Linked DNA regions of Styela clava. The protein of the gene in region 1 purifies or fractionates together with the protein of each later gene. This does not show direct contact. Links are inferred from orthologs where the notes say so. Each region holds a gene or a part of one and is shown on either strand. Other genes may lie near its edges.

Evidence for each region.
Region 2: the proteins of serine/threonine-protein phosphatase 2A 55 kDa regulatory subunit B delta isoform-like (region 1) and serine/threonine-protein phosphatase 2A catalytic subunit beta isoform purify together in Caenorhabditis elegans (affinity purification with western blotting; 3 studies listed by BioGRID, with this or other methods). This does not show direct contact. The link is inferred for Styela clava from reciprocal best matches to the Caenorhabditis elegans genes sur-6 and let-92.

The regions. Positions count from the first base shown.
Region 1 is NC_135258.1:22,217,511-22,225,664, reverse strand, and holds the start of serine/threonine-protein phosphatase 2A 55 kDa regulatory subunit B delta isoform-like, read right to left. Parts: upstream 3,519-8,154; 5' UTR 3,452-3,518; coding exon 3,325-3,451; intron 3,057-3,324; coding exon 2,961-3,056; intron 2,718-2,960; coding exon 2,620-2,717; intron 1,676-2,619; coding exon 1,510-1,675; intron 1-1,509. UniProt on the Caenorhabditis elegans protein: Probable regulatory subunit of serine/threonine phosphatase let-92.
Region 2 is NC_135256.1:2,853,772-2,862,876, reverse strand, and holds the start of serine/threonine-protein phosphatase 2A catalytic subunit beta isoform, read right to left. Parts: upstream 3,374-9,105; 5' UTR 3,313-3,373; coding exon 2,365-3,312; 3' UTR 1-2,364. Other genes in the region: uncharacterized protein LOC120327840, read right to left, coding at 4,359-6,659.

The DNA.
Region 1 (8,154 bases):
TAGAGCTGAGCACAATAACTCTATTATGATGAAGTTATTCTATATAAATAATGACAATGAAATGGAGCATGACTCACAAAGTTAGGTCAAAGTTATTAGGCATACAGAAAGTAAAATTTTAACACATATTTTGCTTTGAGAAGGCAAATTTTAAAATATCGGTAGCAATATTCGAAATGGTCGTAACAGCATGCAAAACTTTTCATTCTAATGTAGGTTTATTATTAATAGAAGGTAAAGCCAAAATACATTCTACGTTGTTATCAGATATACATTTATAAATACCAATCGCTATTTCTGTATTGAAATTAATTAATGAAAGAATGGAAATCATTAAAAAGAATGGAAATTAAATTCAGAATGGCAGGTCCTCAATTTTTTTTCCAGTGAACTTTGACTAAATACTACTTAGGTCAGTCTGAAACTCTCACTCCATTGCTTTTGGTGACGAGGTATTCAAGACTTGCCAAAAATTAGATCAATCACCCTTTGTAGGTGCGCCAAGAAAAATTTGGTGGGAACCATCGATCTAGGTTTGTGGTTCTCAATTTTCCATGATAAATGGTATACTCTGATAAATATTATTATTATGAGTAGAATCACTTCAGTGGCAATGGTTGCAAGGTACAAATAAATATACCAAAATCAATATTATAAGAAATGGAACATACTCTTTGTAACTAAACGATTATGCGTGCTCATGCTCCTAATATTAACGAGCCTGATAGCGGCCACTCTCTATTGGAAGAAATCTGTTTCGATTTCTTTGGGCTTTGGGTTAATGAATAACCGACATTTAGTATTCAAAGTATTCACGATCACAAAACCTGTTTACTTCGAAATTCAAGAATTTTTTGAAATGTCTAACCTAGTAAAACATCAAAATTTGTTGAACAACAAATAAATGTTACACAGCATGCCAGCATTAACCAATGATAACAAATAGCTACTAAATTGCAGATAGTTTTATTTTAGTTTTATTAAATTTAAAAATTCAGCAAAGGGGAATAATATTTACATAAAATAGAATAAATAAGTTCTCAACAGATGGTATGTGCATTAAATCATCAAAATTTCTCTAGCTTGAATTTATTGCATAAATGAGCTGATAAATTAAGAATTAACTTATAATTGAAGGTGCATTATGCTGAATCAAAAAAGTCTTCTAATGTGGTAAATACATTTCTATTTATATTCTAATATTCAATCCACCAAGTAGAATTCAGCATAGTAAACCGAAGTAAAAATTTTGCATTTTCCTGAGGTTGATAGTTGAATTTTCAGACTTCTAATGGTGATAATCACCAATTAAGGTGAAGGATAGTAATTGACAGTCTGCCTGAAATTTTTTTTATCAAAATTTGATTTCCTTGGGAGTTCGGAACTGGAGAACAACGTTAGAGGATGATTGTAAATTTCCAGTTTTTCTTTCATTTGTAAAAATATCCATAGCCTACTGCTTTTGATTTGAAAATTACAAAATACAGATTTAAAAATAAATGAACATACCATTCGTGGAAAGTAGAAAATGTGCAGGATTCTTGCGTTGTAACCATCGAATTTTATTAATTTTTTCCTCAATTTCTAAACTTTTTAAATAATCGAACTCTGGTTCATGACTTTGAAAAGTACTGTAAACATTGTATTCACTCCCACGCACTTCGCTATTCTTTGTCTGAAATATTAGAGAGTGAATGAAACGGCAGGAAAATTTAATAGGCCATTCAAAATTGAAATTGCAGCAAAACTAAGAAAAACTTCAGACTTGAATATAATCATAATTCGCTCATGGATAAAAGATAGGGTATTTTAGCAGTGCCATTTTTTTATTTTCCAGAAAATAACAAAAAACAAAATTGTCTAGATGCAAATGAATAATTAATATTTGGCACTGGTTGTCTATCATTGAAATCATTTCCTAAAAAATAGTAAATAGTTGCTTCATGGAATTGTAGGCATTCAACTGATTCAAAACATGCTCTCTATCACATTTGCTATGAGTAAAATCTTTTATTCTCCACATGGCAAACTGAACAAAGCAAACTGGTATGTATATCTGTCAGAGCTAGAGAAGTGTGACAACAACAAGGTTTCTTCTTTGTTTTATTTTTAGTATTAGACACACTTTTGCAATTTTCAAAAATTATTCCAATCTTATTCGTCTTATTAATGCTGTCAGTTTAAGCTGAGAACAAAACAACCGCACTATCCAGATATGTCAATTATTAGGCCTGTGTGTGTGTTTTCTGATCTAATTTTTTATTCAAGACAGGGAGATGTGAAACCTATTGCTCAGGCTAGGGATGGAAAGTTAGAAAAGCAGTATCTGGCTATATTACCGTAGTTATTATTTATTAAAGTGTGTGTGCACTTTATCGGTGAGAAACTTCTGTATTGATAATTAAGGCAATATTTTGTTGGAAAAGCGCTATAGAATTGCTGTTCTTTCTATTTATTATCAACCAGGACACCTGAATAAAAAATTTAGCAAGGGCATTTTTCATACTCCTTTTTGGTGCACCTGTACAACAAGATATTTTTGATTGAATGTTGTTCAGCAGACTGCCTGAAAACAACATATGTAAAGAAGATTATAAATATTGTATAGAAATAGCATACCATTGGTTCTCTTTGGAAAATCACGACACGACCTCCTTTGTCTCCAGTTGCCAATAATTCTCCATCATAGTTGAATTCAACAGTGGAGATGATGTCAGCTGTCAAATAAGTATAAAACTAAACTACATTTACAGAGAATGAGGTGGAAACACAACATGAGAAAAACAATAGCATGAAACACAGTTGAAATTAATAACAAATTTGAGGTCAAACCGAGGGAGGTTACTATATATTAACAGTCACAGTAACAAATATTAATTTTCATCCACATTATTCAATTTATAGAATTCAAACATCGCAAATGTCATGCTAAGCTTTTTCGTAACGGAAAACGTGCTTACGCTCAGAGACATCCTCATCCATCGTTCCTTTGACTTGGGAAAAAAACCACTGCAGTTCACTGTTACTGCTCCCTCCTCCAGATCCACTCGAACTTGCTAGAATAAAAGAAAATTAAAATTAACAAAAAGGCCATGCAATGCAAGATGCAAAAGGTGAACATATCCAAGGAATAGTGTGACAGGTGTGTCTGCTTTACTACCATAATTGACCAATTTGCAATTACTCCATTGTTTATACCATGTCGATTAATATCCAATTTCATCCACAAATAAACCAGTTATATTGAATTAATGATTATTAGGATATGGACTTAAAAATCTCCATAAAATATTAGAGCGCATAGTTTGGTCTCTTTGAAGTTACCTAGAACAGTGTAATTTTTGTTTTTATCCCGCATTCCTAAATGCGTAGCAAGCGGAAAAGTCTCTTTAGATGTTGAAGTGTCAGCAAACCTAGGACATACTCGACTTCTTAGTGATAAATAATCCATACATAAAGATCAAACTGAACAAAATATTAAAGATAGACTAACCAGGAAACTACGCTATATTTATTAGAAAGCAGTATATAAAAACTGGCATCATGTGTAAGTCAAAATATAGGCTATTGTTTCACGAGTATAAATATTTTTTATGACGAGTATTTGCACCTTTCGCTTGGAACAAAGCTACACTATACCAGCTGTCACTAATATTTAATGATATGCAATGAGCTACCTATGATTTGGGAAATAATCTGAGATTTGAAAACAAGATCTGTAATCTGCAATGCTAACAGTTGAACTGCGAGACCATCGCTCGTCAAAATTTTCCAAAGATTGAGAAATCGAAAAAGCTCAAATTTTACTTAGAGCAGGAAACCTATTTAATTTGTTCAATCAAGTAGCATGTCATACTGTCAATTATGTACAGCAAACTATTACCATTTGATTGCTCACATCTTTAAAGAAGAATCGAAAAAGGGAAGCGTTATGAAGGGGTGTATATGAATGAAAACTAATCCCATACTGTGGAAATGCTCTCTAACTTTTGACGAATATTTCAAGTGGGTATATCTGGACTTTTTCGTAAATAAAACTGATTTGAGTGTAACCTTTTAATGCATAAAGTTATACAAGATTTCAACAGTTATGTCAACTGCAACTAGCTCAGTTTATATACCATGGCCACAGAATATTGTTTTCAGAAAATTCAGATGCAAATGTATTTCAAACAAATTTAACGAAACTGGCAATTAACGAAAAATGTTCCAATCGATATGACGATTTCGTACCACACCATTCGAAACGAAAGCATGTTTCAAGCAATGAATGAAAGCGAAAACAAGAGACGGATAAAAACAATCATTGTTGCCAATGAGTTCCTTGAAATTTAAATGAAAGCTGTCAAATCCGTATTTTTCCAAAACCTTATCTGTAATTTATGCACAACTGACATTTGAATCGGTCATTTGAAAAATAGGATCGGTCATATTATGCATTCTGGATAATAGTCTATTTATGATGAGACTGTGTACAATGGGGTTTGCACAAATGATTTAAAAAAAATAACGCTAATAATATCTTTCACACATTATATGCGTAACATCATTATTTTTTGCATGGGGCAATGAGTGATTATAGCATTGTGATGCAAAAGATCGATAAAATATTCGATTCAAAGTTACGATAAGAGAAAATAAATCACAACAATTAAGCATTTACAGCATTAGTCGTCATTATCAGCGCCACTCGCCATGTGGCTTGAACAGACAGAACATATGGCTTCTATGCAATGACATAAAAAGTGTTTGTCATTGTGAATGCATTTTTAGCTCAGAGTTGCAGTGGTGGTTTTATGAGATGGTGCAGAGATCACAGAAATTAAGACGACTGGGGCAGAAAAATAATCAGACCAATGACAAATTGATATTCATGCACCATGAGTAACACCAATCTGTCAATGTAATATATTTCTAGTCTGGTGGGAATTCTGGAATTAGATAACGAATGGCTAAATTATTCAGTTATTGCTCCCATAAACCTTAAATCCTGTCAAATATTCAGCCACCAAGCAGTAACGTTATCACAATAGCAACTCATTCACTCGGAGACTAATCAGCATAGTAGTAGGCCTACGTTAATTGCTAATAGATAAAGCTTAACCCTTTACTACTTTACCGTACCGGTATAAAATCATCAGTAACGTTACCGGTACCGTATGCGATATACATTGCGTTAACTATTAATAATATTATATAAGTAACTGCGATTTTAACTACCGCGCCATACGAATAGTAATTCTTATTAAGAAGTGAAAATTCGAAATTATCGATCCTCTCCAAGCTGTGAAAACGTACCTCAAACAAGTCAATAAATTAAAGGTGTATCAACTAATTAGTACTAATTACACACCAGCCATCACGATTGAAAGATCCTCTTCGCTCTGATTCGTTGATAAATCTTTATTTAATAATGATTCGGCGTAATTTTCCGGGTGATTCTTTTTGATGAAATATCATCCTCAAAACGCCCTTTCACTCCAATAGTAGCAGCGCCTTGATAGGCATAATAAAGGGATAAAGTGCTAGCCTCGGACCAGCTACGGTTTGTAATTGAAAGCAAAATTTATGCAAAAACGAAACATTACAAACTGACTTATTTGCTGCTTATTGAAATCTGAATTGTAGGATTTGCAAATCCATTTGAAAGAGAGGAAAGCCAATGAAACGGCTTGATCATTTGGCTAACCACGGCCCCGCATCCAATTACCAGTCCATGTCGGGTATGTGATTAGATAGCCAGTTTGTTTTCAAGGGCATGTATCTTGCACGGGCATCAGTGTGTGTGGATTGTAATACGTTGGTACTTAGTACCTCGTGAACTGAACGTAAAACAACATTTACACTAGTAAAATCTGTACCTTGTTACAGTACTTCCTTTATTGTGTTTTTTTTTCAGGTTTTTATATTTGACTCGTTTTAAACCTTGTTTTCACAGTTGTGATGATCAGTTTTAACCTCATCGAAAGCACGTTATGCTTGCCCTGCTTGCCCTGATTGATAAGCTCGCACGTTCCTTAATTTAACAGTGTAATTGAGGAAATTTCACGAATTTCACGAAACAATTTACCTTTGCCGCTAGATTAAACTTGTCAATAGTGTTGCAAAGGCTAAATAAAAATATATATACAAGATCGCAAATTACTCAACAATCTCGAGATCTTCCGGATTAATAAATTTTAAGTATATACACACTATTCTTAAGAGGACAAATATTTATGTATTGTATATAATAGGCTTCTACGATTTTCCATGGTATTAATCAAGACTAGTCTATAAAAATGAAGACGTCGCCTGGGAATCATTATATTAACACGAAATGCCTTCGTAACAACGACAAAGTTAATTAATCCATTCAAAATCGGCCCCAGTATCATATATATATCTGAGCCTGCATCTCTGCTGTTTTCAGTCAAATACATCTGATCATACAGGCATATTACTTGCATCTGCGCGAGGTGAAAATCGGAGTTCCGTTTCGCAAGAAATTTGGACCCCACTTCGAATGGAAATGCAGTTTGATAACTGATATACTCTTTAAAGAAGTAATCAGTAGTTAATTTTTGACCATACTTAAAATAGGCACAAACATACAAATTGCAATAAATTAAATTATAAATAGGCCATATGTCAGGGTGAAGGAGACGCGAGATAATACATGTATATATCAATATTAGGCATCAAACTTGAATTATCATATATATTATATATGCATATGTGGAAACAGTTCTGCAGTTTTTGAGATGACGGCACTACGATGATGGTAGTTTGTTAATCTTCATCTTGCATTCATTTAAACTATAAATTGCGTAGCCATAGCAACAAACTAATAAAATTAAATAGGTACGTAAAATTGTCAGTTTGGGGTATTGCTGATTGGAAATAAGCTACTGAATGAAATTAAAACGTGCTGTGGTCTTATCTTTGATATATATATCAATTGTAGAACATGTACATACATGAAATAAATAATTATGAAATTCGAACAACACTTACTCCTGTTCATCTCACTCACGAAAATAAAAGCGCTAACCTCAACGAAGTGTCCAGAAAACGCCGAACATTAACCTACCTAAATGACACGAACAAAACATATATTGCATTCTCGTCATATAGTAACATTCAAGCAGATTCCGAATTTATTTCAAGTTCCTGGTAGCTTATATAGATTACAGTAGTGAAAGGTTGGGACACTTTTCTTCTTTTGCATATTTTGAGTCCTCTATTCTTCACATTCATTTCACTTCACGAGGCTAATGCCGAGAGGGGTAAATATAGTTTTTTTTTAGCGACAAATAATTTCCCTTGCGCGCGATACACATCTTACCATTAAAATGCTTTCAGAAACCTTTGTCAAGTGGGGCGGACATTCGGACAGACCCTGGGGCACAATGGGGTATTCTGTTAAAGTTAGCAAAGTATGCCTTAAAAATAAGCAATGAATCAGCATTATCACCCAAAGAACGCGGGGACTTCAAATTTGGAGATTTATCAATTTTGAAATTAATGTCTAACCTAAATATTCCAGATATTTTTCCCAATAATTCCTTAAACTAATTTTCTGCATTGGCAACATAAAACCACTATTATTTCTACTACACATATTTATGCCGTGGGAGAGGAAAGTGATAAGACGGCTTAACCATATGACGAACCACGGCCAGGGATGGCCATTTCCGAATACTAACCTATTCCGAATACATTCTAAAATAATGTTTTCGAATCTGGAATTCCGAATACATTCTAAAATCGAAAATAACACATTTTTATTGTAGTTTATTAAAACCAAGTAAAATAGGAAATGAGTTCCAATAGAAATATCAGAATAAAGCCACATACCAACAGCATATGTACACAAAGTAATTGATAGTTTATAGCTATCAAAAAAAAAAATAATAGCAACTTGTGACACAGTCAGTTTATTAAAATTGTACACTTAGTACAAATGACCATATGAAAAGATAGCCAAGGAGTTGTCTGACGCTTTTTATCATTCATACCATGATATTACGATAATACCCAAGTCTATTGACAAAAATACTACTTGTATTCAGATAATCGTGTATATTTTCTGAGAGTAATAAAATTCATTGGCAATACAGGCAAATGAAGCAAGCAACAACGATCGAATATCCATTATGCCTAGAGTATTCT
Region 2 (9,105 bases), on another chromosome or scaffold:
TGCTACAAAATGTATTATCTTTTTTTATGACATGCCATACTTATAAAAAGTGCTGTTAGGAAAAACCTAAGAATTTATTCAATTATCAGCTCATGTCATTTTTATAAATCAAACCCTACTGAAAGAATTTTTTTCACATTATTTAAAATCTCTAAAATATCCCTAGTCCGGACCAGAAAATACTTTTTTATGCAAATTAAATTAGTTTAGCTACCTATACCTGTTCAAAATATTTTTCTGCAACTCATCTAGATTATGAGAATATAACATATCATCTACCCACTGAAATACAAATGATGATACAATAAGATATGGATTTTAAGAATTCAAGCTGACCAGCAAACTAAAAATACAGACAATAACAGCATCATAATGCCAAAGATATTTTTGAAAAGGGTATTTTCACTCATAAAACTGTAGTTTCAATCCATGATAATTTTTAAAAATACGAATGCAATGAATTCCATTAATCTGGGGTATGTACACTTTGTTAAACTACCTAAATAGCCATGGCCTTGTCGATAATTGGCATAGAAAATTTGAATTTACTAGAGCAGATGAAACCACTATGTAATATAAAATCAATGATGACAATTTAATTTGAATAAACCACAAGATTACTAGAGCTAATGGTTTAGATCCCAACAGAATTAGGATGAAAAATCTCATTAATAAAAGTACTAGTGATAATCGTTAGAACACGCCCAGGAAAGTATTTGAAACCGTTTAATCTGAACTTCATGTGAAAAATATCAGTGGGGAACATTACATTTTTCCAGATGTAAAAAGAGTTGAAAAGGCTTTGAATTCGGTCAAATATTGAAATATCACTTCATGTAACAATAAAATGAATATTAGAATATTATGTGCATAAATGGGGAACACTACATTTTTCCAGGTGAGAAAAAATGCAAACGCTCTGAATTTTGCCACATATAGCATCGGTTAATAATAACACTTTCTTGAAACTAGCATTGAATAATTTGACAATATGATATGCACAAAATAAGTGTGGAAAGCTGTGGTAAACAAGAATAGTGGAATTGACAGTTTGATAATAGAACAGCAAGGATAATTTGTGGAATTTTTAAATGCTACAATCAATGAAAATTATGCTTTTAAGGTATTCAAGTCTAACAAAATATGAAAAGCCAAAATAAGAAAAAATGATCTATGATATTATTAGAAATTACAGTTATTTAACACACATTTATATCCTCTGTGACAATTTGTTGAATTTGAATGTTGGATTTAATTCAATATTTGTACATGGTACCGTACATGACTAAATTTAGATTCAGATTGAAACATTTCGAAGAAATCATACAGTTTAAAACAGCAAAATATTATGAAAGTTATGCCACAAGAAGTAGAATTGAGTTGCAAGCAAACCAAAAAAAAATGGCATAAAAAAACAATATCACTTATATTTATCAAGCGTTAGAGCTGTCAAAATAGACTTCTCAAACTTAACAAATATGACATCTTGTAAGACGCAAGTGCCTGGTCTTAATAAGCCCATAGTCCTCTATTTGTTAATGGCCACTTGGTTAGCCATGTTCTGAGTTACATTTTAAATTATCCTATTAAATATACGATGAAAAGTAAAAGACAATTAGACCAAACAATGATAAAAATATTAACATCACAAAGCGAGTTATCCATAAACAAAAACTGCAAAATTCTGTTTAAATTATCCCAGCTTTTTCACAGTAAGAAATCCTTGAATATTCTTACTTGAAACCGTGAACGGAACATACATCAGAAACATGGTAAGAACCAAACCTTACTAAAATGTAATTACCGGCATATAGAGGGGATTTTTCGCAACCTGTCAATAATAATGTGGATAGACTAATTGAGAAAGGGCATTCATACTTTAATGGCCTCCTCCATATTGAACTGATGGTTACCGTATAGACAGCACTTTTTGAATGGCCTTTTTCTTAGAGTAGGGATGGTTACATGGCACCAATTAGCATTCAAAGTGTCCATGGAGGGCTATTGGGCTGTTGTATAGACAGAAGGTTAAGAATAAAGACAGATAAAGGGTCTCAATCTGCATTTGAATGACCTCAGAGGGTTATCGGGTTGCCATGTAGATAGCAGGTAACAAAAAGGGATGGATACATAGTCCTAGCAATTTTTGAATGGCCTAATCTGTAGAAAAATTAATTCGGTTTCTATTTAAATAGCAGATTTCATTATAAGTGTTTTTCTAAAAATGTTCCGCTTGGTTTTCAAAACTCAAAGATGATCAAGTCACGACAATAAGTGAAAAACACCAGTAAATATATGATCCAAAGTGGCTTGATAAAACCGATAGTGGAATAATTGAGTTCCAGAAATCTTGAGTGAAAAAAATCACAGGAAATAATCGGGAGTGCGTCTAGTAACATGGGGTTCTCCACGTCTCGGAGCGGGATCAAATTGTAAGAATGAGTAGCGTAGAGCGTCGTCTAATTCCATAAGAGCGGCCTGGTTTCCACATCTGTAGCAGTAGTTAGGAGCGCTGAAAATGGTTACGACGTTGCGATCTTGACTCCAGTTATAACCTTCCATGACAAGTTGGTGAGCACGAGAGATGAGAGTGAGACCATTGTGATGGTTAAACGTTTCCGAGATGTCTTGTCCAAAAGTATATCCAGCACCACGAGGGGAAATACCCCAACCGCTTCGATCATCTGGGTCAGACCATAAAAGGTCACACATCGGTCCTTCGTGTGGTACTTCTTGAAGACGGTCCAAAGCACGAATGTGATCAAGCGTATCAATAGAAGGTGACAGTCCACCATGGAGACAGAAAATTTGTCCGTCGACGAGCGCCGTCAGCGGGAGGTAATCGAAAAGATCAGTGAAATATTTCCAGACATTAGCATTTCCGTATTTTCTTAAACATTCGTCATAAAATCCGTAAACTTGGGTAATTTGTCGAGATTCATGATTTCCACGTAAAATTGTAATACGATGCTGAAATCTGACCTTCAAAGCGACAAGCAAGGTTACAGTTTCAACAGAATAGTAACCTCTATCCACGTAGTCACCCATGAACAAATAATTTGTATCAGGCGAGCGACCACCGATACGGAACAATTCCATCAAATCATGGAATTGTCCATGGACGTCTCCACAGACAGTCACCGGACATTTCACTTCTTGCACATTTGATTCTTTTGCTAAAATCTCCTTGGCCTTGTCGCACAACGTTTTGACGTTGCTTTCCGCTAGTTGCTTGCAGTCGTACAGTTGTTCAATCCATTGTTCCAAATCCTTACTTGTTGGCAGGGCTGACACTGTAGTCTGCTCCTCCATTTTTTTTTCAACAAAAATATTCAAGACTTAAACTTAATTTGTTTACGAGCATAAAGCTAGATCAAAAATAAAATAAGTTAGATCAGAAATGCATTAAAACTGGGAGTAAATTGAATTAAAACTGGAGTACATAGGTAAAGAATGAACATATTAAAACTTCAAATTTGCACAAATTTTGAAGTTTCTCAGCAATGAAATTCAAGAACTCATTCGAACCTATGAATCAGTGGAGCATAAAATGACAGCAATGGTAATGCAATGTTTAAATAAGGATATTCTGGCTATTGAATGAACACAACAAAATCACAAAATTTTAATTCCAAGTTTTGCAACTTGGATAGGATTTTAAGAAAGATAAATTGGTCTAGTTCGGTGTGATTTGACCATGTTCATATCAGAGAAATAAGGCAGAATATAATCAAAACACACTTTGGAACACTAATCTAAATTAAAACGAAAACATGGATATATTTGATGTCACACATTCTCTAAAATGAATGCAGCATAAAAAGAAACAGTCCGAATTCCAGACAGAATATTATTATTCCGACGAGTCGCACTTCATTGATTTTTACTGGTGATAATCATACCAAGATGAACCAGAATGTAGTAAATGCAGTTAATGCAAAAAATAAGATAAACCTCCTATATTCCTGAGGGAACATGCTTTAAGCAAATTTAAAAAAAAATAAAATAAAAGCACACATCAAATTTAGGGCATTACAGTGGTATCATTAACCCCAGGGCTTCTTAACTATCAAAATTTTGGCCGCAAAAACGTCGCTATTGTGAGTGTAAATTATGTTTTGCACCAGTTTTGATAATTGTGTTTCGAATCGAACGCCTAAAAAAGTTTAATAGATAGGCCGATAGCACTTTGTGTGAATTTGGTGTGATCTTTGCAAACCCTAAAATTCGTTGTTCACCCATTCGATTTGAGAAGCCCTGATCTACCCTTTCATTGCTACTCCTGATTTATTCCTAATATAAATAAAGAAATAGGTTCACAGTTGAAAATAATACGTAGCATAACGTAGTTAAACCAACTAATTAAAATGCCTACGAAAACCTCTATCAGGTTTTCCTCGTTCAATAAATTTCCTTTTTTTATTATTCGATCTTTCAAAAGAATGGCCAGGATTATTCGATTTTCGATTTTTACTGTTTGAACGAAAAAATTCATCGTTTTGTAAATTAGGTTCTGGGTTGTAATGTTTGTTTTGAGATTTAGATTCTTTGTAAGATACTTTTCGCTTTGAGCTTCGCATATTTTTAGAAAATTGCACATCATCTTTTGACACTTCATAAGAAACAACCCTTTTGTCAAAAAAGTTTAGAGCTGAAGAACTTGATTCTTGTGGAATTTGCTTTTTGAACGTTCTGTCAAGCTTTTTTCTAGTGGATGAACTTGTTTCTTGTGGGATTTCTTTTTCAAACTTCGTTTTAGATCTTTTATTGCTCTTTTTCCGTAACGCCTTGTCAGCAGGACGTAGCTGATTATGAGCTATTCTCTGCCTTTCAGTGCTCGGTTGACGACTCTCTCGCACTTGAACTTTAACACCATGTCTTCTGGATTTGGAAGGTTGGCGTTCAGGTGAATCAAATATAATATGTTGACGTTCTTTCCGTCTTGCATAGTTATTATTAGACTCTTTCTCCTGTGAGAAGTCACCATGGTTACCACGATTGCCTCCATAAGATCTTTCAAAATGCGAACTTCCTTGAGACTCTGAACTTCTCTTTCCTTTCAATTTCTTTCTTAAATCCTGTGGAACCGTAGAAACAGCTTTTTTATCGTATCGTTGAACGTAAGGCGCTAGCATCGCGTAAAATTGATTTGCTCTCGGAGATTCACATTCATGACCAAAGTGGCCGATCCCTGCGCAATTAAAGCATTGGGGATCACTTTTGAGCGGCACTGGTATAGTTGGGACTTGAATAGGACCAGGTTTTGTAGTTATATGAAACTGTCTCCATAAATCCGGACAATCAATTTGTATATGACCTTCTTGAGAACATCTATTACATACCATGTGTCGCCCCCGGTATCTTAAACCCTCCTTTTGAGGACAGTCACGGCCAACATGACCCCTGTTTCCGCACATGAAGCATGCTGGTCCCTTCTTTTCCACAGTACAGTCTTTCACTTTGTGGCCCACTTCATCACAATTTCTGCATCTTATTCCTGAATTTTTAGAATTACCAACAAAATACCTCCCTGCTCTGCCAGCATTATTATTATTAGTAGTAAATTGCTTGGTATCTTCTATATCTATTTTCCAGCATGACTTTGGGCCTTTTTCTGGAATCCACGCATCGTTTGGTTCTTGTCCCATTTCCATGTCGGGTTCCTCTTGTTTTTCTGAGATGTGAAGGTCTATTCCCCCATCACAGCTATCAGAAGAGCCATCTTCCACACTATCAACTATTTCCCAAGTTTCAGGAACAAAATCGCTTGTTTCCGAATCCAGATGTTCTCGTAAACGAGAAAGATCTTCCTCATTAAAGACTTTGTCATCATTTTTTTCATCAATTTTTTGCAAAGTGGGGGTCGCAGTACCGCTACAAATTCGATCAAGCCCAGAATTACTTTCATCGCCTGAAACTTCATCAGTAACAATAAAATCATTTTCTATGATATAATCGATAGAACTATGTGATGAATTGTCATCTAAAACGGCTTGCTCAACGTTCGGCCTTTCAACGAGCAAATCAGTTTCAAGAGAGTCAGAATCATAGCTGAACTGTTTCGATTCTGAAACAGGATTGTATTCACTTGGAATTGAAGGTTCAATTGTTTCTTCGGCCTCTGTGACATTTAGAATTGGGGTAACATTTATGAGATTATTCTTTGAACTAGGACTGTCCGAGATTTCAATAGAACTGTCGAAATTTTGACCAAACCTTGTATCGCTGTCTTGGGTAGAGAAGGTTGCAGTTTCATCTTGTCTATCGCCACCAAGTGGATTTATTGTCTTAGTTTTATTTTGGTTACGAAAACTCTTAAAGGCATTTTGATCCGCAGAAAAACAAGTTTCTACGATTGGTGTTTCATCTTGTCTATCGCCATCAAGTGGGTTTATTGGCTCAATCCTATTTTGGCTACGAGCATTCTCATTCTGATCCGCAGAAATACCAGATATTTCTACGACACTTACTTCATTATGAAGTGATATGGCATCAGATATAACTTCGTTTTCCGCAGCATAATGAAGTTGGCTGTACAAATGAAATTCTACGTCACTGTCTATTTCGTCAGAATCCGAGAAATCACTACTTTCTTCATCCGATAAAAAATTGTCAACAAAATCATCAAAATTAGAAACAACGGGGAAACGCTTGTTCATATTTCTGACTATGAAATTAGGTACAAACACATTTTGGCTTCTTATTTACATGAGCTAAAATTTTTCAACAATTTTGGTTTGATTAAAATGTCCGTGAAACCTTGTAATGAGGAAAATAACACAAAAGAACTATAGTCCCAAGCAGTCCTACACACAGAAACACTTCAACTGAATACTGTCTGAAGAAAAATGTCTAAAGAAAGGGAAGTGAAGACTATTGTCTGGAGATGGCCGAAAATCTGTAGTTTAAAGCAGGGGTGAACGAATTGCAGCCCGTGGGCCAAATGCGGCCCGCAAAGAAAAATTGTGCAGCCCACAAAGAAGAGCCCAATTTTGAAAAATGTGCCCGCGAAACGAGTTTTTAGTTTAATTAATAATTAATCTGGAGCGTTGCGAAGCATATATACCAGTATCCGAGTGCCACTGCCATATCAGTGAAGCTAGCTAGAAAGATCCTGTTGGAAAATACGCAATGTTATAAAAGAGCGTTTCCCACTGAATTCGTTTAAAGTCGGTGTGACAATAAATTTAAATAGCAGTTTGCTTCAAAATTTTTTGCGATTCAACTCAGGATTTCTGCTAGGACCCCGAACAATGCCGTAAGATCAATTACAAAAAGGAACAACTTTTTGTTCTTGCATAATATAGTAGAAACTCTACCTTCGAATGGCCCTGGATATGAAAAATTAAACTTACGGGAATTATTTTCGTAAAACTTGCCTGGACTAATGTAAGATTTTCCACATCCGAAAACAAAAAATGCGTGTAGTGTAGCGATATTTGCTTATTTTGATGCAGTGCTTGAAGCACGGATGTTCAATTCGAATTTATCATTCCAATATCGCGAACTTCGATTATCGGTTTTCGAGTTTGAAAGGATACAGAATATCGCCGACCCCAACGTTTGGATTTAAAACATTTCACAATTATTTCATTTTTTATCGTAATTGAAGGCAGTCTTATAATGAATAAAATAAAATTTTAAATTTCATGTACTTGTGCTTATTTTCGAACATTACGATCTCCTTCAGATATTAACTTTTAACGCCTCCCCCGACCGCCGTCCTCCCACTCTCCACAGTCTTTGCTTAGTCCAGTCAAATATTATGTCAGAGTTTTGTGGAGGGAAGGATTAATGTCTTTCAGGTAAACAGCGTCCGTACTTACGAAGGGGCTTGGAACAAATTAATTTCGTATAAATTACAGAAACCCATTCGCAAATAGAATTCTTTAGGGTACACACGGTAAGAAGAAATAACAGAAAAATACCGAATGAAAAGTACGAATGTTTTTCGTATCCAGAGAGTTTCTAGGTGCGGCCCGCGGTTTCACCCAGTTACTTGTATTTGGCCCGCCTGTTAAAAAGGTTACATAACCCTGGTTTGAAGTTAGAGCAAGGGTGACCAAGACGTCGATCGACCAAAAAATTGCCTTGAACCAGTTTTGAGCGTGCAGTGTAAAACAGAAGGAGTACAGTACAGTACATGCACAAAATACAATACACATTACTCGCATACAGTATTTGAGACTGGGCAAGCGCGAGAAAGCATGAAAGTTTCGCCGCTGCCGCGATTTGAAAATGAACGTGACAAATATTTTGTTTTTTCCTACAATAACCCCTGCAGTATGCGAAACTTATTGTCTCCAAGATTATTGTGATAAATTTTATTCGCAAAAAGACATTGCAGTACGGCATACTATACAGATCTAGAGACATTGTCTCCTTTCGAAGAATCCCATTTGCCGATGAACAAACACCCCTTCCTTGGGGGATGTCTGGACATTGTTGTCCCTCAATATCGGTAGAAATACAGTAAAATGAAGCTGAGCAAAAAACTGCAAAATAACACAATTTAAAAACGTCATCATTGAATTCTTCTGGAAAAAATAATTCGATTTACCAAAGGGAAAATTTTTCTACCATGGCATTTGAGAGTTTTAGCAAAGAACTGCAACTTTGGTCATGTGACGGCACGATTAATTTAGAATATTACCGGGAGAAGCATGGCGTAATATGACGTTTCTGCCGTTACGTCAGGCGGCCCTTGTTTGTGAATTGTGAGACACATGAGGTGTTTGTTTTATTGAACTAAATGACAGGACATTATTGGAATTTGTATCGTGTGCCGTACTGCATTGGCACATGACAAGACCAATTTTTTTAATTCCGAGCGAGCGAAGAATCGGACTATTTTATAGGTATCGAAAATATCCACACATCCCTTAGGCCAAATCGCACAGAGAAATATTAGGTGTCAAAATGACAATTCACCGTTTGTAACAGACTCTGGTGAAATATTAACGAATCGTACTAAAATCCGATCTACACATTCTGACATTCACACAGCCGGTGGTTTATGGGAATGACCAATATGAATGTTGCAGAGAATACGAGAATCCAATCTGCCGCTAAAATATTGTCAAATACCGGTAACCTAACCTTTTT